3 linked regions of the Caenorhabditis elegans genome follow. The protein of the gene in region 3 purifies or fractionates together with the protein of the main gene of each other region. This does not show direct contact. Each region holds a gene or a part of one and is shown on either strand. Other genes may lie near its edges. The genes, in order: cku-70, faah-5 and clec-182.

Region 1 (7,556 bases), on a different chromosome or scaffold from region 3:
TCAAAATTCAACTTTTTGTGCGAAAATCTCGACTTTTTCACCAAAAAAGTTGAATTTTGGAAACCTCAAAACTTTTTCAGCGATCTCGTTATGAAAATCAGGTAGTCTCAGCATTTAAGCAGCATATGTATCATGTTTCAGAAAAAGTTTAGGTTTTGTATTCCCGTAATCCATCATATTGCATTGACCACTTTCACCGCTGCTTGCCCACTGAATAGATGATTTTTTACTTGGAAATTGTTTTAGCCTCTGCAAAAAATATTTATTTATCAGTTTTATTAAGAAAAAACGAAAAAAAAAGCGATGATAAACGAAAGAAAACAGGCGGAAAACAAAGCAAGATAAATGGCCGCTGAAACTTGTCGGCCCCTCGGCCATGGCCTAGAAACCACTTTTCCTCGTCCCTCGTGAGGAAAAAGTTGCAGTGTTAGGGGGTGAAATTTGCATCTGAAAAAAGTGCATTAAATCCAATGGATTAGCCCATATTTCATATGGTTAACGGTGAAATCAAGTAATTGAGAAGTCCAAAAATGTGGCAACAACTTTTTACTGCAGAAAAACCCTCGTCTTCGGTGGTTCAGTGGTTGTTGGTAAAAATAATTCTCAACTTTTTCGTTTAATTTCAGACTGATGCCTCGTCTCCCCGCCTTCTATTCTCCGGATGTGCTCAATGTCAAGGATCATGGGATCTTCAGGAGCATCAAGCAGTGATTGGGAATCAAGTTGACCGACAAATGTCGGAATTCGTCGCCAGACATCATCTCGCAGCGTTTAAGTACGATTTTTGATGGAAATTTGCCGATTTTCTGAAAATTTGGAAAAAAAACCTGCTTAAAATCAGGAGAATTGAAGACTAATTGCCAACATTGAAATTTCCGGAAAATCGGCGAATTGCCGGAATTATACATTTCTGGCAAATTGGCAAATTTTCAATTCCGAGAATTTGCCAATTTGCCGGAACTCGAAAGTTCCTTGCAAATCGGCAAATTGCCGGAATTAAAGATTTCCGGCAAATTGGCCAATTGACGGAGTTCAAAATTTCTGGCAAATTGGAAAATTGCCGGAATTGAAAATTTTCGGCAAGTTGTCAAATTGCCGGAATTATAAATTTCCGGCAAACCAGCAAATTGCCGGAATTGGAAAGTTCCCTGCAAATCGGCAAATTGTCGGAATTAAAGATTTCCGGCAATTTGCCCAACGGCTATTGGCGCACACTTAATATTCTTGTAAAAATAGGAAAAATGGCAAAAATTTCCGAATTTTTTGAAAATCGAAACACAAAAAACCGCACACTGAAAAATATTAAACAATTTTTTTTTTCAAATCCCCATAAAATTTCTTTTTTTTAGAGGCAAAATTTAAAAAAAAATTCCGAATTTTTTCAAAAAATCGTAATTTTTGTTGCAGATGCGATGAGCCAACGTGTGAATTCAAAACTCGCGTACAAACGATGAAATGGTGTCGAGAAGGACTCGAATGTATTCGATGCTCAACTGGTGTGCTCCGTCGTGAATACACTTCAAAACAGCTTTTCGATCAGCAAATGTTCTTTCGAACAATTCTCGATGTCGACGCGGCTGTACGAAAGTTGAGCGACGCCCAGAAAAGTTCGTGTTTGCGAAATTTTATTGGAAAAAAATGGGAAAAATCCCTAGAAAATGGGAAATTTCGGCGAAATTCAGCCAAGAATCGTGAGAATTAGCGGAAAATCTCGAAAATAATGGAAACAAACCGAATTAGGAGAACATTTTTAACTATTTTTGCGTTAAAATCATTCAAAATTCGATTTAAAAAATGTGATTTTCTTTCAATTTTTTTTTTGGAAATCGGACTTTTAATGTAAACTTTTGGTGAATAATTGTAATTTCAAAAAAAAAAACGCAGAGTTCGGAGAAAAAGTTTACTTAAAAAATTTTATTTTCTATTTCAGCAGCTATTCAGCATTTTTTTTTTTCAAAAAAAAAATTACGGAGATAAAATTATTCGGCTTTTATAATTTTATTACTCAATCCCGAAATTTCACGATTTTTGCGCCCGGGTCTCGACACGACAAATTGTTGTTGAATGCGAAAAGGTGTGCGCCTTTAAAGAGTACTGTAGTTTCAAACGGAATTTTTTATCGATTTTGCGCATAGATTTTCACACGATTTGTTAAAATTTAAGCGGTTTATTTCAGTTTTTCTAATAAAAAGCATATTTTTTAACGAAAAACTGAAAAAAATTGGATGAAATTTGAGAAATTTTCATCCATTTTTTTCAGTTTTTCGTTAAACAAAAAAACTGAAATAAACCGCTTAAGTTTTAACAAATCGTGTGAAATTCTATGCGCAAAATCGATTAAAAAAATCCGTTTGAAACTACAGTACTCTTTAAAGGCGCACACTTTTTCGCATTCAACAACAATTTGTCGTATCGAGACCCGGTACCGTATTCTTTGAAAAGCTTGGCTCAAATAATTTTAAATCCGTAATTTTTTTTCAGTAAATTTTTTCTCCGATTTCTGAGTTTTTTTTTTCGTTGAAAATTACAATTTTTCACTAAAAATTAGCATTAAAAGTTCGATTTCCAGGAAATTTTGTACAATTTTTTCTTCAAAAAAGTTTTTTTTTTCCAGAAGCCGCCAAAGTCCGTGTCGAATATAATGGGTGCAAAATCGATTCAATGATGTTGGCTGATCGAATCAATGAGAAATATTTGGAGAAAAATGCCTATAATCGAGTGGATCTTTCATATATTTTTGCGCCAATGATGAAAATTCAATGAATTTATTTTCTTTTTTTTTTGAAAATTTCCCCCCAGTTTTGCGATTTTCCCGTCTTTTTTATGTCGAAATTTCTAATTTCCTAATTTTTTTCACAAGTCATTTCCTCCTCCTCCATTTTTCCATTTTCTCCTAATTTTCAGTGAAAAATTCTTTATTTTTCCCCAAAAAAATATTCCCGAAAATACTCAAATCATATCTGATAAACAATCGAATCCTGTGTTAATTCTCCCTTTTTTCACTGAATTTTTGGAGTTTTTCCATCTCTGAAAAAATTATTTCAATTTATTATAGTATTTGTGTCGACTTACGGGGAGAATTTGAACATTTTCGCTATTTTCAAATTTTCTATGCAAAGTAATTTATTTTATTGTAAAATTAAAATTTTTGAGCAAAAAATAACACTTCTCCTCGAGGAGTACACGAAGGCTGCTGCGTAAATCGACACAGGGGTTGTCGATTTACGAGGGATAATGTTTCGGAAACTGAAATTTTAGCCAAAAAAAAAGTCGAGATTTTGCAAAAAAATTGAACTCAAACTTGTCCACGTGTAGTTCAAAATCCGTCGTAAATCGACACATGCATAAAAACCGTGTGTCTATTTACGCAGCTGGTGTACTCCTCGAGGAGAAGTTTTTTTTTTTTAATTTTTCAGTCACGAGCTCCGTAAATCGACAAAATATGATATTTTTTTCTCGAAAAATTTGAAAAAAAAAACTTTCGAAATTTTCAAAACTTGAAAAATGTCAAATTTCAAAGTTTTTGAGAACAAAAATATTTTAATAAATATTTTTAAATTCAAAAAAAATTAATTTTTCGATTTTTTCAGTCAAAATTTGAATTTTTTTTCGAGAAAAGTTTGAAAAAAATCAATTTTTTTCCAGATGGACGAAACCCGCTTCGAGGATGACGATTTCGAGGGTTCAACGGCCAATAAAAAGTACACATTCTTCATAATTGACGGAAATCCGGCAATGTTCGAAACGTCGAAAGCCGGTGAGCCGCCAGAGTTCAAGCTTGCTCTGAAGCTCATTCTCGACGAAATAGTCCGTGTTTGCTGCTCGCGGAGCCTTAACAATCATATCGGAGTGATTGTCACTAGTACTGTACGAGTTTTTTCTGAAGAATTTCTGAAAATTTAATAATTTTTTAATTACAGAAAAACTCGGAGACCGAGGGACTCGAAAATAGCACTCTGCTTGTGCCGATGGGTGTTCTTGGACAGGAAGAAGTGAATAAGATTAAGGAAATTGCGGAGGAAGGTGCGGAAATCGCGGACAATTTCTGACATTTTCGTGGTTTTTTTTCTCGGCATTCGTCGTCTTTTGGCGACTTGGCACAATTTTCGCAGTGAATTAGGCAAACTTCTAATTTTTCAAAATCTCGACAAATTGGCAATTTCCAGTTAAATTTCGAGTAAAATCTACAATTTCAGAATATTATACGCAATCTGGCAATTTTTTGGCAAAAAATTGATTGTTCTTTTGACTTTTGGCAGAATTTCGGTAGATCACCACTTTTTTGAAAATTCGAACGATTTTTTTCCGGCAAATAGACAAATTGTCGGAATTGAAAATTTCTGGCAAATTGCCAAATTGCCGGACATGACAATTTCTGGCAAATTGCCAGAATTAAAAGTTTCTGGCAAATTGCCAGAATTGATTGAAAATTTACGGCAAATTGCCAAATTGCCGGAATTGAAAGTTTCCGGCAAACCGGCAAGTTGCCGGAAACTTTCATTTTTGGCAATTCGGCAACTTGCTGGAAATTAAATTTTCCGGCAATTCGGCAAACCGGCAAATTGTTGGAAATTAAAGTTTCCGGCAAATCGGCAAAATGCCGGAATTGAAAATTTCCGGCAAACCGGAAAATTGTCGGAAATTAAAGTTTCCGTCAACTCGGCAATCCGGCAAGTTGCCAGAAATGAAAATATCCGTCAATTCGGCAAACCGGCAACTTGCTAGAAATCAAAATTTCCGGCAAATTGCTGAAAATGAAATTTTCCGGCAAATCGGCAAGTTGCTAGAAATTAAAATTTGCGGCAATTCGGCAAACCGGCAAGTTGCCGGAAACGAAAATTTCCGTCACGGCAAACCGGCAAATTGCCAGAATTGAAAATTTACGGCAAAACTGCAAACCGGCAAGTTGCCAGAAATGAAAATTTCCGTCAATTCGGCAAACCGGCAAATTGCCAGAAATGAAAGTTCTCGTCAAAACGGCAAACCGGCAAGTTCCCATAAATGAAAATATACGGTAATTCGGTAAATCGGCAAATTGTCGGAATTTAGTTTCCGGTAAATCTGCAACTTGCCGGAATAAAAAATTTCCGGCAACAATTCGGCAAACCGGCACATTGTCGGAAATTAAAGTTTCCGGCAAACCGGCATTTCCGACAATTTGCCGAATTTGCCAAACGGCAATTGCCGTCCACCACTGCTTTCGACAAAACAATTTCCGGTATTTTTTTTTCAAGAAATTGGCAATTTTCGACGCCAGAACTTAGCTTTTCATAAAGAGCGGCCTGAAATCGTGTAGGCCACGCCGCCTAGAAAATTGGCAAAACAATATTTCATAATAACCTAATTTATTTTCAAAAAAAAAAAAGGTTTTTTTGTGAGATCTCTTCAATTTTCAATTTCTCATCCATCACCACCACCACCACCACCTCAATTCGGTTTCCTCATTCCGGCCTTTATCTCCCGCATCAATTCATCTTGCCACATGGAATGAGTCTCCTCAATTGTCTGAATACTTATCGCCAACTCACGCATCCGATCACAAGCCACCTCAAACTCACGAGTGGCATCATCAAACCGAGTCCGATTGACGTCAGTGTCGTTGCTGGCGTACTTGTTCGCAGCACTATCCATATCGAGACGTGTCTTATTCAAATTGGCAATTGTATTTGTGTGAAGCTTACTCTCGTTCTGTGTGAACGCCTTGTACCGCTCACAAATCGCCAGCACCTTATCCATCGACTCGACTTCTGCCTCCATCCGCGTGTCGACACAATTGATGAACGGTTGCACGTTGATACGATCTCCGAGCAGAGCATAGTTCTCCAGTGGGCCTGAAAAGTTGGCTTTCACTTGCCAATTTGCCACGTCGTTCAGATTTGCCATGTGCTTGTAGAGATCCTGGACGCGGGGCTTCAGAGATTTGAAGTAGATCAACGCCTCGTCGATTTCGGCGGGAAGCACTGTCGCCTTGCTTCTGCCCGTCTTTTCTTTCACTTTTTGCTTTAGTCGACTGAACATTGTTGAACAACTCACGCACACACCACCGAGTCGAAATTTAGGAATAAATTGAATTTTGAATTTTGTCCGCGGCGTTTTTTTTTTTTGCTGTTGGAATTTTGAAATTTCCAACGTGGAATTTTGGGATTTTCACGGAAAAAAATTTGATATTTGAGTTTTGTTCAAGTTTGAAAAAGTTAGAAAAGTTTCAATTCCGGCGATTTGCCGGTTTATCGGAAATTTGCAATTCCGGCAATTTGCCGGTTTTGTCGATATGCCGGAAATTTTCATTTCCGCCAATTTGCCGATTTGCCGGAAATTTTCTACTCCGGCAATTTGCCGGAAATGTTCAATTCCGCCCATTTGCCGGTTTGCCGGAAGTTTTTAATTCTGGCAATTTGCTGGTTTTCCGTAAATTTTCCGATTTGCCGGAAATTTTCTATTCCGGCAATTCGCTGGTTTGCCAAAAATTTTCAATTCCGCCAATTTGCCGATTTGCCGGAAGTTTTCAATTCCGACAATTTTCCGATTTGGCTGTAGATTCCATTTCGGCAATTTGCCGGTTTGCCGAAACTTTCAGTTCCGGCAATTTGCCGATTTGCCGGAAATTTTCTACTCCGGCAATTTGCCGGAAATGTTCAATTCCGGCAATTTGCCGGTTTGCCGGCAGTTTTCAATTCCGGAAATTTGCCGATTTATCGGAATTTTTAATTCCGCCCATTTGCCGGTTTGCCGGAAGTTTTTAATTCCGGCAAGTTGCCGAATTGCCGGAAAGAAATCGTTTGCCGCCCACGCCTGCAGTAGATTTCGAAATTTTCGGCAAGTTTATGCAACCGACGTTATTTTGGTTTTACCGGAAATTTGATATATTTGCAAAGTCACTAGACATATGCGATTCTCAGTGAAGGCTTTCCGACCAATAAGCGATCCGAGGTGGGCGTGACCAACATTGCTAATTGGTTGGCGGTCCCGATTTGAAGTGAAATTTCAATTTTCAGAAGTTTTCCGAAAAGAAAATAAATAATTTTTTGTTCCAGAAAACCTCCTCTCGGCAGTGAACAATTACGGCGGTGATCATCACAAATCCGACTTGTCAAATGTGCTTAACTACTGTAAACGAGTGTTTGCAAGTTGTTCGAATACACGTCATCAATCGGTCATTTATTTGACAAACAATCGGAATCCATTTGAACGTGACGATTTTTTGGAATCTTCGCATTTTGTTAGTGGATTTTTTGGCGGGTTTTCGTGGAAAAAACACATAAAATATCGTTAAAAAATACAAAAAAAGAAACTTTAAAAAATCATAATATCCATGGAAAATTAAATTTACTGACAAAATATATAAATTAGTGTTGTAGTCAAAAAAAATTCGGAAAACTATTGAGCACTTTTCCAATTTTTCCAACTGAAATGCAATCTTTCTTAGATATTATAGGAGCCCAAAATTCTGAGAATGCGTACTGTGCAACAGATTTGACGCGCAAAATGTAGCTATATCTCGTAGCGAAAACTACAGTAATTCTTTAAGTGACTACTGTATCGCTTGTGTCGATTTA
Region 2 (10,097 bases), on a different chromosome or scaffold from region 3:
AGCATTGATAGTGGCTACTACAACATCAGAAGTTGAATGTTTTGAGGATGCGAATGCGGTTGATGTGAAGATTTCTACAATGAAGACCTATTTTCTGGAGAGAGATGTCGCACAAATGTCGAATCGGTGTAACGAGGTGTACGAGCTGAATACAGTCGATTAATTGTTGATTTTTTGCGATTTTGGGTCCTGACACGATTCAGATACTGTACCCGTTTGTTTTTTCAATAAACTTTTTGTTTCTATTACCATCGAATATTGCCAATTGAAAGAGAGAGTATGCGCCTCGTTTTCTCATAAAATTTCGACATTTTCGCGCCAAAGTTACGGTAACTGGTCTCACCACGAAAATTTTTTGTGAAATGTGGAAAGGTGTGCGCGCCTTTAAAGAGGTACTGTAATTTGGAATTTTTTTATCGTTTTTTCCCATGCACGTGGTGTCAGGTTGTCCCATAAAAGTTTGATCTACAAAAAATGCGGGAATTTTTTTTGCGGAGAAAAATGTGACGTCAGCACGTTCTTAACCATGCGAAATCAGTTGAAAACTGTGCGTCTCTTCTCCCGCATTTTTAGTAGATCACACCGAAATGGGACACATTTGACACCACGTGTGAGCCTTTAAATAGTACATTAGTTTCCACGCCTTTTTATATCGCAATTTTTATTCGTTTTTCTTTATTACCCGCGAAAATTTCGAATTTTTGGCGTAAAAGTTACGGTAACCGGTCTCGCCACGACAAGTTTTTGTCAAAGGGTACTGTAATTTTAAACTTTGTGAAATTTTGACCAAATTTTTTCAATTGTTTTTCGAAAAAAAGCTATTTTTAGTGAGAAAAAATTCCAAAAGTAAAAAAATTTTTTTGCCGGAATTTCGCTTATTTTTGCTAAACTTTGCTTAAATAAATTCGAATTAAAATAATTTCTCACAAAAAACTACAGTTTTCAGTACTTAAAGACGCATAAACTGCTTCAACTCAAAATATTACGGAAACACAAAATTCTGAGAATGCGTACTGCACAGCCACGGCGTGTAAATTGGTACATCTGGCATAGGGAAAAATGAGAATGGCCTTAGCCATGGCCGTGGCTAAGCGCGCTAAATAAAAAATATAGAATGAATGAAATGAAATCGATGAATGAGACATTAAAATGGATCAAAATTACAAAAATACACACAAATTGTTTTTAAAATGACTAAAAGACATTTAAAAACGGTTATTTTCCTAACTAATGTTGGAAATTTGATTTATAAGGCAATTATTAGGTTTATGCGTCAAAACTGGCACATTTTTCAAAAACTAGATCCACAAATTTTCTGAAATTTCACTACTTCATACGGTAGACTATTAAAAACAAATTATATACAAAAATTCATACCTACTGTCACAAGTTCATATTGAATTTTTCAATTTAGACCGGAAATTCACGTAAAATAGGTGTAATTGCCACAAATTTGAAATTTATTCAAAAAAATAGATCCACAAATTTTCTGAAACTTCATCAAGAGACTGTATGAAGGGTTTTGAACAATTTAAGTACATAAAATGTATATCCATCGCCACTAGTTTACACTGAAAATTGCCGTTCCTTAGTGCAGCTTCAACCTGCTTCATTTCGTTCAATGCGTAGTTTATATTTTTTGTATCTGAATTTAATATAATTTTAGTGTTTCTTTTATTCTTTTTCGATAAGATAATGCATTTTTGCTTGACTTTAACGATATTTTCATATAAAACAAAACCGGGAAGTATTAATTGCTAAAATTATGATGATTACTATGTAAATTTTGAGATTATTTTTGCACCAAATTCAAAAACCACATTTTTCTCGCCTTTCTTCAAGTATTTTCAACAATTTTCACCAGTTAAAATAGCAAAACATCGATAAAATGTTTAAAAAATCGATGTTCGGCGCTTAAATTCCAGCGGAGCGCGTTTGCAGCGTCCAGCGTCCAGTGGAGCGCGTTTGCAAAAAATGAAAAGGTCTCGCAACGAAAATTTCATCAATCAATTCTCATTAAAATTTTCTATTCTCGTCCTAATTTTCTTCATTTTCCATGTCCAAAATGGAGGATAAGATTAAATGTAAGTCAAATAAAATCGACAAAACTTTTGAATTTGAGATGCTATCAGTCATTTTATAATTTTAAGCAAAGAAAATCATCCTCAAATTGATCTCACACTTGTTCCACAGGCCTAATATTCTTTAAGCAAAGAATATTTAGCCTGCGGAGCAATTATTTTATACAAACTGTTTATTTCAGTGGCAGCTTACTCGGAGCTTCTCGAAAAGGCTCTAGCTCGTGATTGGTCTCCCGTCGATTTCATTAAAAATGAAATCTTGTTTGTTCTCGATGAATTGAAGATGGATGTGGATAAGTATAAAAAGAATCGCGAAGAATTTGTGAAAATCGGAAAATGTGTTGGTCACGCACACGCGCTTCTACTCATTGCGAAATTTGGCAACGAGTAAGTCTAATTTCTACAAAAAATTAGAGGCATTTCATTGTTTTTTTTTCAGAAAGTCAGATGGAGCTGCCACAATCATTCTCGGAAACATTCCCGAAGATGTGTCATTCCCCAAGTTGTTCCCTCAATGCGTGGGATTGGGCAAGTTTTTTGGCATTTGTATGAGCACCGTAAAGTCTCCATGCCTTACGGCCAAGCTCACTTTCGACGACCACCACAGTGCGGCTGATTTCGCTGAAAATGCCAATGAATTCGAATGGGATGGGCGTAAGCTGATCGCAATTGTGAAACCCTTTAGCGAGAAAAAATTCCAAAAGTCAATAATTTTTTTTGCCGGAATTTCGCTTATTTTTGCTAAACTTTGCTTAAATAAATTCGAATTAAAATAATTTCTCACAAAAAACTACAGTTTTCAGTACTTAAAGACGCATAAACTGCTTCAACTCAAAATATTACGGAAACGCAATATTCTGAGAATACGTACTGCACAACATATTTGACGCGCAAAATATCTAGTAGCGAAAATAAAACTACAGTAATCCTTTAAATGACTACTGTAGTGTCGATTTACGGGCTCGATTTTTGAAATGAATTTTCTTTTTATTTTTGCTCAAATTTTAATTGCTGCCCGTAAATCGTCACAACAGTAGTCATTTAAAGGATTACTGTAGTTTTCTTTTCGCTACTAGATATTTTGCGCGTCAAATATGTTGTGCAGTACGTATTCTCAGAATTTTTGCGCTCCCATAATACCTGTCTGAAATTGCGCAACTGTGTAATATCGTGGTGTGGCGGATAACAGAGATCGTGGCGAGACCATTTCGCAAGGAAATAAGGGCACGGTAGCTAAAATGTGTCAGGACCCATCACTGAAATTTTATGCACAGAGAACTGTTATTGCTGTCATTGTTTTGACTAATAAATTATTAATCTAGCCTCATATTCTCCTACATATTTTCTCACAAGGAACCGAATCTCTCTTCCCATTTCCAAGGAATTAACACAAAATCGTACCTACAATTGCCCACTCGAATAACACATTAGTTCCCCATTCATAATAAATCCCCCATCTATAATATATAATCTGCTGTTTTTCCGGAAAAAAAAACTCTGACTGAAAAAGTGATGAGTTGCCTTGCAAAAGTGTTCGTCGGGTTTTTAGTATTCATATTTTATCTAGCAAGTATTCCATTTCTTATTATGTATGCAATTCCAAAAGTTCTTTTGGAAAAGGTGAGCGTATCGACTGTTTTGTGATGTCAGAATGTCCCATTTCGTTGTGATCTACAAAAAATGCGGGAATCGAGACACAGGCTACTCAACTGATTTAGCATGGTTAAGAACGTGCTGACGTCACTGTTTTTTAGGCGAAAAATTCCCGCATTTTTTGTAGATCAAACCGTGATGGGACAGCCTGGCACCACGTGCTGTTCTGTGGTTTTTTAAACTTGCGCGTAAAATGTGATGCATTGAGTTGGTTGCACCATATTTGACGCGCAAGTTGAATTGTGGTACAAGCATAAAAATGCTTAATTATTTCATTTTTTACGGAAAAACTGAGAGAATTCCTTTGTAAAATCGCAACTGGAAATTTAAACGATTCCCTTATTTTTTTTGTTTTTAAAATGTGCTTTTCTGTAGGTTTTCACGATGTTTCTTTTGAAATAATGTAGAAAATCCATTTTCGACACGTAAATTATTGACACTTTCGAAAATAATGGCAAAAGTTAAACCGCTGCCCCATTACGGTTTGATCTACAAAAAAGCTGGATTTTTTGCCCAGAAAAATTTGACGTCAGCACGTTCTTAATCATGCAAAATCAGTTGAGAACTCTGCCGCATTTTTTGTAGATCTACGTAGATCAAGCCGAAATGAGACACTCTGGCACCACGTGCGCCTACCTGCCTGACCTTTAGGCGAGCTTCGCTTTGGAAATTCCGATTTTGCCGTTAAACATTATACTTTTAGTGCCGAAAACCATCGCGAAATCGTAAAATCCGAAACTTCCGTGTCCGCCAAGCCGACGCATTCACGGACTTTGAGAACAGAACTCTTCCATCGAAACTTTTGCACAGTGAACGGATTAATGGATCGAAAGAGAATGCTGATGAGATTGAGAAAACGTTTCAGACAGTACTTGCTATGGATTTTCCCACTTTGAGAGGTAACTTGTAAGGGGAAATTTAAACTTTAAAGCCCAATTCCCAATTTTTTAAGAGGCGCTTCAATCCGAAAAGTTCAACGCTTACACAGTGCTGAGTGCGTATGTCTGGAGAGCAATAAAGATAAATCGGAAGATCAATTGCATCACTGAAGTTATTAAGGAAGCTTTTACAGGTATGAAGCAAATAGTTTCAACGTGGTGCTAGAGTGTCTTATTTTGGCGTGATCTACGTTGATCTACAAAAAATGCGGCAGAGTTCTCAACTGATTTCGTATGGTTAAGAACGTGCTGACGTCACATTTTTTTGGGCAAAAAATCCCGCATTTTTTGTAGATCAAACAGCAAGTGGGCAGCCTGGAACCACGTGATCACGGGGAACACATAATTCTTAGAATGCGTATTGCACAACATATTTGACGCGCAACATATCTCGTAGCGAAAACTACAGTAATCCTTTAATTGGCTACAGTAGCGCTTGTGTAGACCACTTATCGACCCGTAAATCGACACAAGCTCTAAAGCTCTACAGTAGCCATTTAAAGAATTACTGCAGTTTTCGCTACGAGATATTTTGCTCGTCAGGTATGTTACGCATTCTCAGAAAATTTTAGATGCACAGAATTGTAGTTCTAAACTTGCGAACACATTTGCTATAACACGTGGTTTCAGAAAGTCTCATTGCGGTTTGATCTACAAAAAATGCGGGAATTTTCTACCAGAAAAAATGTGACGTCAGCACACTCTTAACCATGCGAAACCAGTTGAGATGCCTACCTCTCAGTTCCCGCATCGCATTTTCCGTAGATCAAAGCGAAATGGAACTCTCTGACTCCACGTGCCACGTGGTGTCAGAATGTCTCTTTTCGGTTTGATCTACGTTGATCTACAAAAAATGCGGCAGAGTTCTCCACTGATTTCGCATGGTTAAGAACGTGCCGACGTCACATTTTTTTAGGCGAAAAAATTCCCGCATTTTTTGTAGATCAAACCGTAAGCCTGGCATCACGTTACGTGCTATAAGTCAAAATTAGAAGAAAAATCTGGATTTTTCAAAGTCGCGCCAAATGCGCCAGCAACTTTATGCGCTTTCGACGCTGAGGACCCCTTGCCATTTGACCTCCAAAAATTGCGGGAAACTTAGACACATTTGTCTGACGCAATTTTTGGAGGTCAAAAGGTAATAAAGAATTTAAATTCGTGTTTCAGATGCTGCAAGACTTGACGATGAATATCGTGAGCAACCGAAACCCCCGCTATTTGGAATTCCGTTTTCTGTGAAGAGCAATTTCTATGTGAGGGATTCTAACTTGTTTTAAGATCTTAGCAACCTAGCTTATATTCTAGGTGACTGGCTACGAGGCTACCGTCGGACTGGCAAGCCTTCTCGAGCAACGGGAGACCACCACGTGCTCGCTCGTCAAATTTCTCAAGAATCAAGGAGCCATCCCTTTCTGCTTGACAAACCTTCCACAGGGACTTTTATCCTATATCACTTCTAATCCAGTCTATGGAACTACCAAGAACCCGTGGGACTTTTCTCGTACTCCTGGTGGATCGTCTGGTGGAGAGGCTGCTCTACTTGCAGCCGGTGGTACTGTATTTGGAATTGGCAACGATCTGGTGGGAAGTCTTCGGATCCCTGCAGCATTTTGCGGGCTGGTGTCGTTGAAGCCTACTCAAGATCGACTTCACGAGAGTGAGATGCACCCCGGGCTTCCTGGACGTGGACGGCTTGGTTACAGCTGTGGATTCTTTACTCGAAATGTGGAAGATCAGGAATACCTGTTGAGGCTGGTCATTGGGAAGCCGGAATATCAACAAATGTCACCGTATTCTTCATTGTCCCCGTTATTAGACACTAGTTCGGATGATAAGCGGAAGCCGGTTATAGGATGGTTTGTAGATGATGGATTCTGTTCAGTGTCTCCATCGAATCAGCGAGCAGTTGAGGAAACTATTGGGAAGCTGAAGGAATTGGGTTATGAAGTTAAGGAATTTAAAGTGAATGATATTGATACAAAGTTTCATTCACACGCTGTGGCCGATATGTTATTCAGAGTAAGTTATGAAGTTATGATAGTCAATAGTCTGCCGGTTTACTGGCCCGACTCCCGGTATCAGAAGTTTTAGTCTTGATTTCAGCTTGAGTCTTTTTTTGCCGAACGCCGGGGTGAGCGGCAAACGATTTTTTCCGGCAAATCGGCAAATTGTTGGAATTGAAAATCGGAAAATTTACCGATTTGCCGGTTTGCCGATGTGGCGGAATTTCTTCTCTAGTTCCGGCAAATTAATATCCGGCAAACGGCAAATCGGCAATTTGCCCAAAATGAAAATTTCCGGCAAATCCGCAACCGGCGCATTGTCGGAATTGAAAATTTCCAGCAAATAGGCAAATTGGCAAATTTCCGGAACTGAGCGTTTCCGGCAAATCGGGCAAATTGCCGGAATTGAAAATTTCCGGCAAATCGGCAAAATTGAAAATTTTCGGCAAATTGGCAAATTGCCGGAATCGGAAATTTCCGGCCAATCGGCAAATTGCCAGAATTGGAAATTTCCGGCAAATCGGCAAATTGCCAGAATTGAAAATTTTCCGGCAAATCGGCAAATTGCCGAAATTGGATATTTCCGGCAAATCGGCAAATTGCCGGAATTGAAAATTTCCGGCAAATTGGCGAAATTTCCCGATTTGTGAATATGCCGAAAAAAAGGCAATTGCCGAAAATTTATTGGCAAATTGTGGTTTTGCGTTTTTTCCGGCAAATAGGCAAATTTCCCGATTTGCCGATTTGCCGGAAATTTCCAATTCCAGCATTTTGCCGATTTGCGGAGTTTTTTCTGGAAGTTTCACAATTTCAATCTTAATCTGCAAAACTTTATGCATCCTATGAATGCTCCTAAATAATAATAAAAAATCCCTCTAATAATTTCCGGCAAATTGATGTTCGGCAAACGGCAAATCGGCAATTTGCCCAAAATGAAAATTTCCGAAATTGGCGAATTGCTGTTCAGCACATGAGTCAAAAGCCAAAAGCCTATAACCTTCCAACAGCTCATTCCCCAGAACGTGATGCCTGACAACGGAGAGTACATGTCTGAAATGTACGGCAGCGAGCCATACGATCGCTACATGTCCCACTTCATTCGGCTCGTCCGTTACAAACAAGTATTCGTGATTCGTTGGCTCGCCCAACACGTCTTACTTCCACTCGCCCAATACACTCCGCTCAAATCAAAACAGGTGCTGTGTCTTGGCAAGGCGTACAATTCGGATCCGGCGTGTGTTCGGCAGAATCAGGAGAAAACGGATTCGTACAAAATGAAGTGGATTCGATATTGGAAGGGATTAGGCATCGATGCGTTGATTTGTCCCTCGTTTATCAGTAAGTATTTAAAGTGAATGCAGAGAACGTTCCTAGCAGTTTGATCTCAAAAATTACGGATTTTCTGGAGATCAAACGGCGAGGAACCTGCTAGATTCGTTAAATTTTCAGCCCCTGCCCAACCATTCAAATATCCGGTCCTTCTTACAACTGGAGCCTTCATAACTGGTCTATTCAACATGCTCGACTGCCCGTCCGCCGTTGTCCCAGTAGCTCCAGTCCGTGAAAAAGAAAACGATAAATTCGAGACAAACGGGGATTTTGTGCTAAAACTTCAGGCAGCAGCAATAAAAGAGACGAGTGGAATGCCAAATTCTGTTCAAATCGTAGCACTTCCGAATCAAGAGGAAATGTGTTTGAAAGTGATGAGAATCGTTGAGGAGATCAGTGAAGGAGTTCAGGTGTTGAGGTGGAAGTCGGAGAATCAGACGATTTGGACGAATGGGGATAGTTTCGAGTGTTTTGAGAGATTCGAGAAGAAGATTGCTCCAAAGAAATAATATTTAATTGCTTCGTATTTCCTCTTATAACCCACGTGGTGCCATGCTGTCCCATTACGATTTGATCTACAAAAAATGCGGGAATTTTTCGCCCAAAAAATGTGACGTCAGCACGTTCTTAATCATGCGAAATCAGTCGTGAACTCTGCTGCATTTTTTGTAGATCAACGTAGATCAAGTCGAAATGAGACACCTTGACGTACATATTAACCTGTCATTTTAGGGTGAAATAAACTATAATCGTTAAAAATGCGAGTAAAATAGTATACAATTCCTATTATTCAAGGTTTCTTTTTCAGATTTCATGTTGAAACTCCGCGGAGCCCGCTTGTTCTGGCCTATACGTAGAAATTAAAGACTTGCGCTTCAGAAAATGGTTGAAAATACGAATATTCAGCAGGAATAGTTATATTTTATAGTAGATCAGTCGAACTACGACATATTAATGGTGTATTTCCACGATTTTTTTCCAGTTTTTTTAAAAATATGCTAACTGATATGACAAAGTACCCCATTTTAAGGCAATAAATCTTTGAAACCCAATAAAACTGCCATAATGGGCCTGACAACAAGCTTGTTAAAGTATTAATTTATGTAGTTCAAACAAATGAAAATATCACGAAAATGTTCTTTACAAATTAATTGGTTTAACCACCAAAGGTAACTGTTTGTTTGAAAATGCTTAAATTTAAAGGTGAAGTAGCGCCAGTGGGGATTTTGTCTAAATGCACTTATAATAATCCAAAACAACCGAATATCATAATAAAACACTCCTAAAAATTTTTAGATTTTTTATAGTTTCCTGCCAAAGCATTAGCGAATTGCCAAAATTTTGAAAAATACGAGATTTTGAGGAAATTTAAAGAAATGTCGCATGTTTTAATACAAATAATTTTTAAAAAATTAAGACATAAAAAATGTCGAAAAAAAAACAATTTTTTTGGTCGACTTCCAAAATTATGAGTGGCAAAAACTGAGTAATTGTCACTTTTTGACAGTGTTTTGGAAAGTTTTATTATGATATTTGGTCATTTTGGGACCAAATGAGTGGTTTTTAACAATTTCCCCACTGGCGCTACTATCCCTTAAATTAAATTTTAATGTTAAAAAATTTAATCTTAATTGAGTTAACTTGATAAGTGCCAAAGTACCCCTGGCTTACCAGAAATTTCATAGATATGACTTGCAGCTAGGGATGTTATGAGGGACTACCCCCTCCTGGTACAGATGGGACCCTCAACGCGGGCCAGGAGTCCCCCGGAAACGGGGCCAATACCCATCAACACCTAAATTCAAAACCACGTCTGGACCAAACGGAGGAGTGCTCCAAGAGCCTCAAAGTTTTTTCGGACAGAGCGGCGCTAAGAGGGAGCGCGTCGCTATGTGAAACACCATCCCTCCCACACACCACCTTCCTCAAGAGGAAGCTTCTCGTCAGATCTGGCGACGTCGAAAGCAACCCAGGACCCACTGTTAAATGGCCCTGCTCCATCTGCAACAAGAACGCCGACGGGAAAAAGGAAACCACTATCAAATGTATGGCGAGCCTGTGCAGAGTCTGGACACATGCGAGATGCGCCAACA
Region 3 (6,591 bases):
AAGGTATAGTTTTCCAGCTAACCAACATCCACTAAAATTAAATATGTCTAGGGCCCGGATGGTGGATTCCAAGTGAAATTATCAGATGGAGATGAATTTGAATTATCAGAAGATGAACAAGAAGATGATGATACAAGCCTAAGTCAATCATGTTATTCTGAAATTGATTCGGAATCTGATATTACTGGTCCATCACCAAAAACTGATTTGGATAAGAGATATCAAAAAGCTTGGTATGCGGCAAAAGAGCTGGTGGATAGTGAGCAGAGATATGTGGACAAGTTGAAACTTCTTGGTGATGTGAGTTATTTTGACACGGAACGTTTTCAAGAGTTTACTGAACTTCAGTAGTATTGAATACTTCTCATAAAATAATTAGAAACATACAGTACCAAGTAAATATTCAGACTTTCCGAAATCGGTTAATCAAAGAAGAACTCATCACAAATGACAAAATAACTCGACTTCTTGCCAATGTGTCATCATTATACCAATTTCATAATACGCATTTCCTTCCGCAACTATTGGAATCTATCAGAGACTGGCACACAACCAAAAGGTAACATTTATATTCTCTAATTGTCTGTTGCAAAATTTAAAAAAATTTAGAATCGCCAATGTTGTTCGAAAACAAGCTCCGTTCCTCAAAATGTATTCAGAATACACGAATAACTACGATAGAGCCACGAAACTATTTGAAGAACTGAAAAAGAAGAAAAAGTTTGCAGATGTAGTTAAGGAAATTGAAAAGCAAGCAGAGTGTGAAGGTCTTCCACTTGGACATCATTTAATTTGTCCAGTACAGAGAGTAATGAGATATCAATTATTATTACAAGAATATAAGAAACATCTTCAACCGAGTGATGTTGATTTTGATGATACTACGGTAGCTTTGGAATTGGTATTACAAGCAGCTGCACATGCAAATGAAATGATGAAAAAATTGGTAAATAACATTTTGGAATAAGTATAGGCCTATAAGGTTATTTTGTTTTCAGGATCGATTTGGGAAAGTGATTGAAGTTCAGGAACAGCTAGGCAACTCAATATCTCTAGTATCCCCAGGACGCGAACTTCTCAAATCTGGATCAGTTCAAAAAATCTCATCGACAACTGAGAAAACCGAGGAACGATTCATATTCTTGTTTAATGATTTAGTAATTTTGGCGAGTGAACGAAAGATGATTGGAGTCTCCAAGTACAAGTTGAGAGCAGTTTTCAGTGCTTCTCATATGCAGGTTAGTGTAACAAGAAAGTGCCGAAATTCCAATATTTTATTAACATTAAATTTACAGGTTTGTGAAGGAGATAATTTGGAGCGTGAGCACTCATTTTACCTAAGAGGATCCGATGGAACTGGTCCAAAGAGATGTGTTGAACTGTTCACTCCAACACAAAAAGAGAAAAATGATTGGGTTGATTCGATTTTCTCAATCATAGATGAAGCTAAAGCTCACAGTCTAACTTTTACTTCAAGCTCGGTTAGTTTTATTATGTAGGACAATAAATTATGAGTTTAATTTCAGAGAAGTTCTATAAGCGAAAACAACAATAATTCAATTGAATCGAAACACTGCGCTGATTGTGATATTGAATTTGGGTAAGTTTAAAGTTCAACATTTCTAACTTTAATTATTTTTCTAATTTGTCAGGTTCCTATCACGGGGTTCGAAATGTGTCAAATGCAGTCGTCGTCTCTGTAAAAAATGTTTTGGTCGTCGCAGAAATGAGTCGAAAAAGCACAGAATATGTGATACATGCACCAAAAATATGGATCTAGATGGAATTCCAAGAAGCTTTTCAACTCAAAGTAATATGCGAAGGAATCTTCTTCAACTACCAGCTAAGGGTTCAGGAGTATTGCATTCAAGCCAGATTAGGGTAAGACTTAGAACAGTTTTAAATAGATTTCAGCTAATTAATAGAATAGATTTTTTAAAATAAACTTGACCTAATTCTAGCACCTTCGCCAAAAACCAGAGCTCCAACAAATCTTTCATAACTGCTATTATCTAGTGAAATTATTGATAATCTTGTTTTTTTTAATTATTTGTTACTCATCCGATAATATTTCAGTTCCGTGGATCTTTGGGGAAATTGTTAGATCGATTTATGGTTGTTCGAGACGATTTCTGTATGTACACTTATTCATCAGAAGAGGTATGTTTTTGATCAGTCATTTCTGCAATTTGTTGTATTATCATATTTTTAGGATATATGTGCCTTGGCTATGCTGCCACTTCCAGGATGTGAAGTAAAGATGTGTGGAGAAAAATTCACATTTTCGGTTCGAGTCGGAGCCCGTCGAATGTACACAATGACCGCTGAAGACGAACAAACCCAAATGAAATGGTTGGCGATTTTGGATTTAGCCGCAAACGCACATCTGAAGAATCAACGGAATTCTGGATCCGAGCAATCTGAATGATGATTCTTTTTTGGCACCCAGCCAAGACATATGTTTATTTTCTTAGTTATTTCAGTGTTCTATTCTTGTTTTTCTCTCAATTCTTATTATTCGTTCGTTGAAACTGTATCCAAATTTTCCGAACTGATTATATTTTTTAAATACGTTCATCTCATCTCATCCCTCTTCTCTCACTCACTACTAAAATCGTACGCAAGTGCGTTCCGCCTGAACACATATCTGTTCTCGAATTCTAGTCATCGTAGAATCTGAAATTTTGAACTCCTGCAATCTGAATATTTTCTGACCTTGAAATGACCAAATTGTCTCTTTTACTACCTTCTCCTTCTCCACGAGTTTTATTAATTTTTTTTGAACATTTAATAAACTATAACACTAATTTTAAATTATTTGGACTGTGTTTGGCTTTTTTTTATGAATGTCAACACAATTTAGGTCATCGAAAATTATGTAATGTTAAATTTTAAATCTCAAAAGAGAAATGATATACAACTAAAAACACTAAACGCGGTTTTTAGTGCTTCCATAGTTTTACAGTTTCAGCATTTTCTGATAGAATTTTTGAACTGACAATGTCATTGGATTGCAAATGTCATGAACCCTGTTTAAAGCCTTTTTGTTTTAAAACATTAAACATGGAATTTAAGCAAAAATACTCAAAAATTCTACCGTGCTCTCGGCTTTTCGTAAAAATAACTAACAACCAGTTCACATATTCACATACTTCTGATTCAAAATTTGACGAAAACATTTCTTTTTTTATTTTCAAAAGTAGCGTGTAATTTTTTGTTTTTTTGTAATTGATGATTTCACGTAATTTTTTTTATCAAGATCAACTCCTTATAAAATGATAATTTTCCCATTTAAATTCATAATTTATTAGCAAGCTGTTCGCAATAGAGAATCGATTGCGATTAGTTTAAGAGTAGAATTGAAACTATACACAGTTCAAAATGCAGTCAATGGTCAGTAATAAATATATTATCAAGCGGTAACTAGGCAAAGATCCTCTGTCTGAAACTTTCATATTTTGCTTTTCTTTACAAGAATTTTTGTTTTCAGCTTTTCTTGGTGCTCTTTTCACACATAGTAGCTCCTGCAGTTTCAGTCAGTATGACGTTTGAAAACTTTCAAAATATCTACGAAAAAACAATTGATCTGAGCTCGATTAAGACTTGTTGGATGTTTGATGGAACAATTCATGAAGCAGAGAAAGATTACCCGGATAGAGGATACACTTGCACGGTTAAGATTCCTGGATGGGTTGCGGACGAAAAAGAGGCAAAAGATTATTGCAATAGTAAATTACCGTTTTACATCACTGGACATCGACCAGGCGGAGCTTCAACTAGATGTACATTCCGTGCGTGTTCTTGTAATTTTTGCTTTAACATTTAGAACTGTTGCGCATCATGAAGTCAAATTCCAAAAAAAAAAGAAGTGAAGAAATGGGATTTTGTTTTGTAAGAGCTCATATTCTTGGTTAGAAACTAGGGCTAATAGGAAGTCGTCTAATTTTTTGGAAAAGACTCAAAATGTGAGAAACGATCGTTCTCTCGAGTCTTTACTTTTCTTTTTATTATGATGAGACTCGTTTCTCATTCAAGTGAGAACATTTTCCTCATTCACAGCCTTACAAAGTGAAAACTGATTAAATAATCAATACCCATTTCCATTTCAAAACCTTTCATCTTTAGTGGTTACGGTTGCATGTGAACCCGATTATTGGCAAATTCTCGGGAAATGCTACAAAGTGTATGATGGAAAGTTCACGTATAAAGAAGCTGAAGACACTTGTTCGAAGCAATCAGTCGGACCTGAATTGTCTCCAAAAGTAGCAAATTTCTTTGCGAGAAATATGCATCTGTTTCTAATGGAGATTGAAAACATCCGAAAAGCCTGGGTGTCAGTGCCAAATCTTGAAGATTATTACGAAAATGGGAAAGGCCACGCAGCTGTCTATGTACAAGATGCAGCGTACAGGCACGATGAACGTGTTGGTTCCATCATGATGTTTGATCAAAATTCGGAGCATCAAGTGATATGTGAGTACACTCCACCGATGACCATGGCTGAGATGTACTATTTGGCACATCGATACTCTGAAATTTATCCGATACATGTGTACAAACATGGTGCTATCATTCCAACGCAAAGTTATTACACGTGGGTTTTCTACATATTTCGAATTTGCTCCATCAAATTTCATAACGAAAGCCATATTCAGAATCACTCAATTGCAAGGAAAAGAAATGTACAATACTCAAGAACTGAAGGATGCATGTAAGGGAGTTGGAAACATTCTTAATGTGGAAAGTTTCCCCATCACGGCAATTGAGCAAGAGTTCGAGGATGTTAAGCCTTATTTGAAAGATCACCAATTTTCACTTGTGGATGCTTATAAAAATGAGTAAGAAATATATTGATTTGGTCTTCTTCTTTATTGAAAAAGTATTCAAATACTTAACTTTTTTACTTTCAGTGGTTGCTCGAGTGGAGACTATTTGACAGAGGGTAAACAAGTATATCTTGGTGGAACTGCAAAGACTGGGCACTGCGATGCTCACAGCTGCATTGTAAAATTTTAAGAATTGTATGAGACATGTGCACATATTTCCTTGATTATGTATCTGTCTATTTTCTACTTTTTAGCGTAGTATCCGCTGTTTAGTGTTTGTAAAATGAATATTTTAGGAATCCATAGTGGTATCAAAATATGGTGATTAAGAACTATTTAGTTTTTTCAGAAACTATAGAGACCCTACTAAAGTAAGGCTTATTACTAAAGTTCTAAAGTAAGACCTAGTAAGGCCTATTACAAGTTAATCATGGTTCTCTTATGCCCTTTCCCGCAAGCATCATCATCATCAGTGCCAGCAATTTGTTCCGTTGAGCATGAAGAGTACCGGTGACACACGCACACATTTCTCATCATCATCTTCATCCTTCTTTCCTTCTTCTTCTTTTTCTTCTAAGTTGTTCTTTTCTTCAGAATATATCTGGCTGCACAGACATGCACATGCACTCTTCCGACCAGCCAATAAATTCATTTTTCGACTCTCTCCTTTGATGCTCTTTCTGCTGCTTCTACTGCTGCTCCCTGCTCCCCTACTCACGGTGTTCTTTTATGAGAAGAAGAGGAAGAAGGGAGGCAAAGGATAAGGAACGAAGAAGAAAATAGAAGATGAAGAAGAACGAAACTGGAGAAGTGCATGGGAGAAATCGAGAGAATGTGAAGGTGGTATACTTTTTGGGTTTCGTGAAGATCGAGGAAGTTTCAATGATAGAAATCCATATCAGATCCAATTATGTAAATGTCTCAATCTCAAATCTGAAGGAAAAAGTAAATATGTTTTAATCCTAGTTATCATAATGTATGCCAATTTGGGCTCGTTGAGTTATTTCTGTATTATGGAAATACGGTATGGCTTCTAATGCTACTGGAGGTGCAACACTGAATCATGATAAATGTTTTCGGTGAATTTCATTGCTTCACTAACGGAAAACCGCAAAATTTTTAGAGCACAATAATGGAAAAATGAATGCACAACACAATTGTACGTACTATCGCGATATATCGGAATAACATCACTAAACGAGGTAAAACAAAATGAAGAACTTGGTGTTTCAAGTTTTGAGATCGGTAGTTGCTAATATTGGCTAATCAAAATTCTTTGGCAATTAGAAACAATTGTTTATTTTTTACACTTATATACCTTGTTTTCCACTAACATCATCACTTGCTATAGATTTCAATATTAATTTCCAAGTTAAAAGTTATCCATTTTGTGGGACTGAGCTTTCGGTATCCTGTTCTCATATCAAGCACCTGACTTATCGCATCCGGATATTCCTAACTTTTTGTTTTTGATATCCTTTCTAAACTGTGATAATCGGATGACACAGCGCCTCTAAACCACCAATAGCCCTTATCTCGGCGCCACACCGCTCTCGTTCGCACTAACCAATTTTCCTTATTACACACACGTCCCTGTCCCTTGTCCCCGCACACACACACGTATCGAATTCCTTATCATCATCATGTCTTTCCTTCTTCTTCCCATTCTTTTTCTTTTTTTTTTCGTTTCGAACATGTTGTTCTTCGTGGTCGACTTGTGAGGGGGGGGGGGGGGAGATTCTGCGCCTCTTCGTCTTCTATGCTG

What was found.
Region 1: the proteins of clec-182 (region 3) and cku-70 fractionate together in Caenorhabditis elegans (co-fractionation; one large-scale study listed by BioGRID). This does not show direct contact.
Region 2: the proteins of clec-182 (region 3) and faah-5 fractionate together in Caenorhabditis elegans (co-fractionation; one large-scale study listed by BioGRID). This does not show direct contact.

What each region holds. Positions count from the first base shown.
Region 1 is NC_003281.10:11,151,182-11,158,737, forward strand, and holds the start of cku-70 (Ku domain-containing protein), read left to right. Parts: upstream 1-3,645; coding exon 3,646-3,867; intron 3,868-3,920; coding exon 3,921-4,023; intron 4,024-5,427; coding exon of another isoform or gene 5,428-6,018; intron 6,019-7,034; coding exon 7,035-7,219; intron 7,220-7,556. Other genes in the region: pola-1 (DNA polymerase), read left to right, coding at 627-775, 1,408-1,607, 2,615-2,763; Y47D3A.31 (BAR domain-containing protein), read right to left, coding at 5,428-6,018.
Region 2 is NC_003281.10:11,884,932-11,895,028, reverse strand, and holds faah-5 (Amidase domain-containing protein), read left to right. Parts: upstream 1-3,593; coding exon 3,594-3,701; intron 3,702-4,437; coding exon 4,438-4,633; intron 4,634-4,686; coding exon 4,687-4,806; intron 4,807-5,839; coding exon 5,840-5,925; intron 5,926-5,977; coding exon 5,978-6,691; intron 6,692-7,694; coding exon 7,695-8,013; intron 8,014-8,124; coding exon 8,125-8,513; 3' UTR 8,514-8,544; downstream 8,545-10,097. Other genes in the region: tsen-2 (tRNA-intron lyase), read left to right, coding at 1-163; Y56A3A.41 (RRM domain-containing protein), read left to right, coding at 2,057-2,084, 2,264-2,468, 2,521-2,857.
Region 3 is NC_003282.8:8,795,306-8,801,896, reverse strand, and holds clec-182 (C-type lectin domain-containing protein), read left to right. Parts: upstream 1-3,541; coding exon 3,542-3,791; intron 3,792-4,125; coding exon 4,126-4,594; intron 4,595-4,655; coding exon 4,656-4,838; intron 4,839-4,910; coding exon 4,911-5,016; downstream 5,017-6,591. Other genes in the region: exc-5 (DH domain-containing protein), read left to right, coding at 1-3, 52-300, 408-559, 610-946, 999-1,238, 1,296-1,481, 1,527-1,600, 1,653-1,881 and 2 more.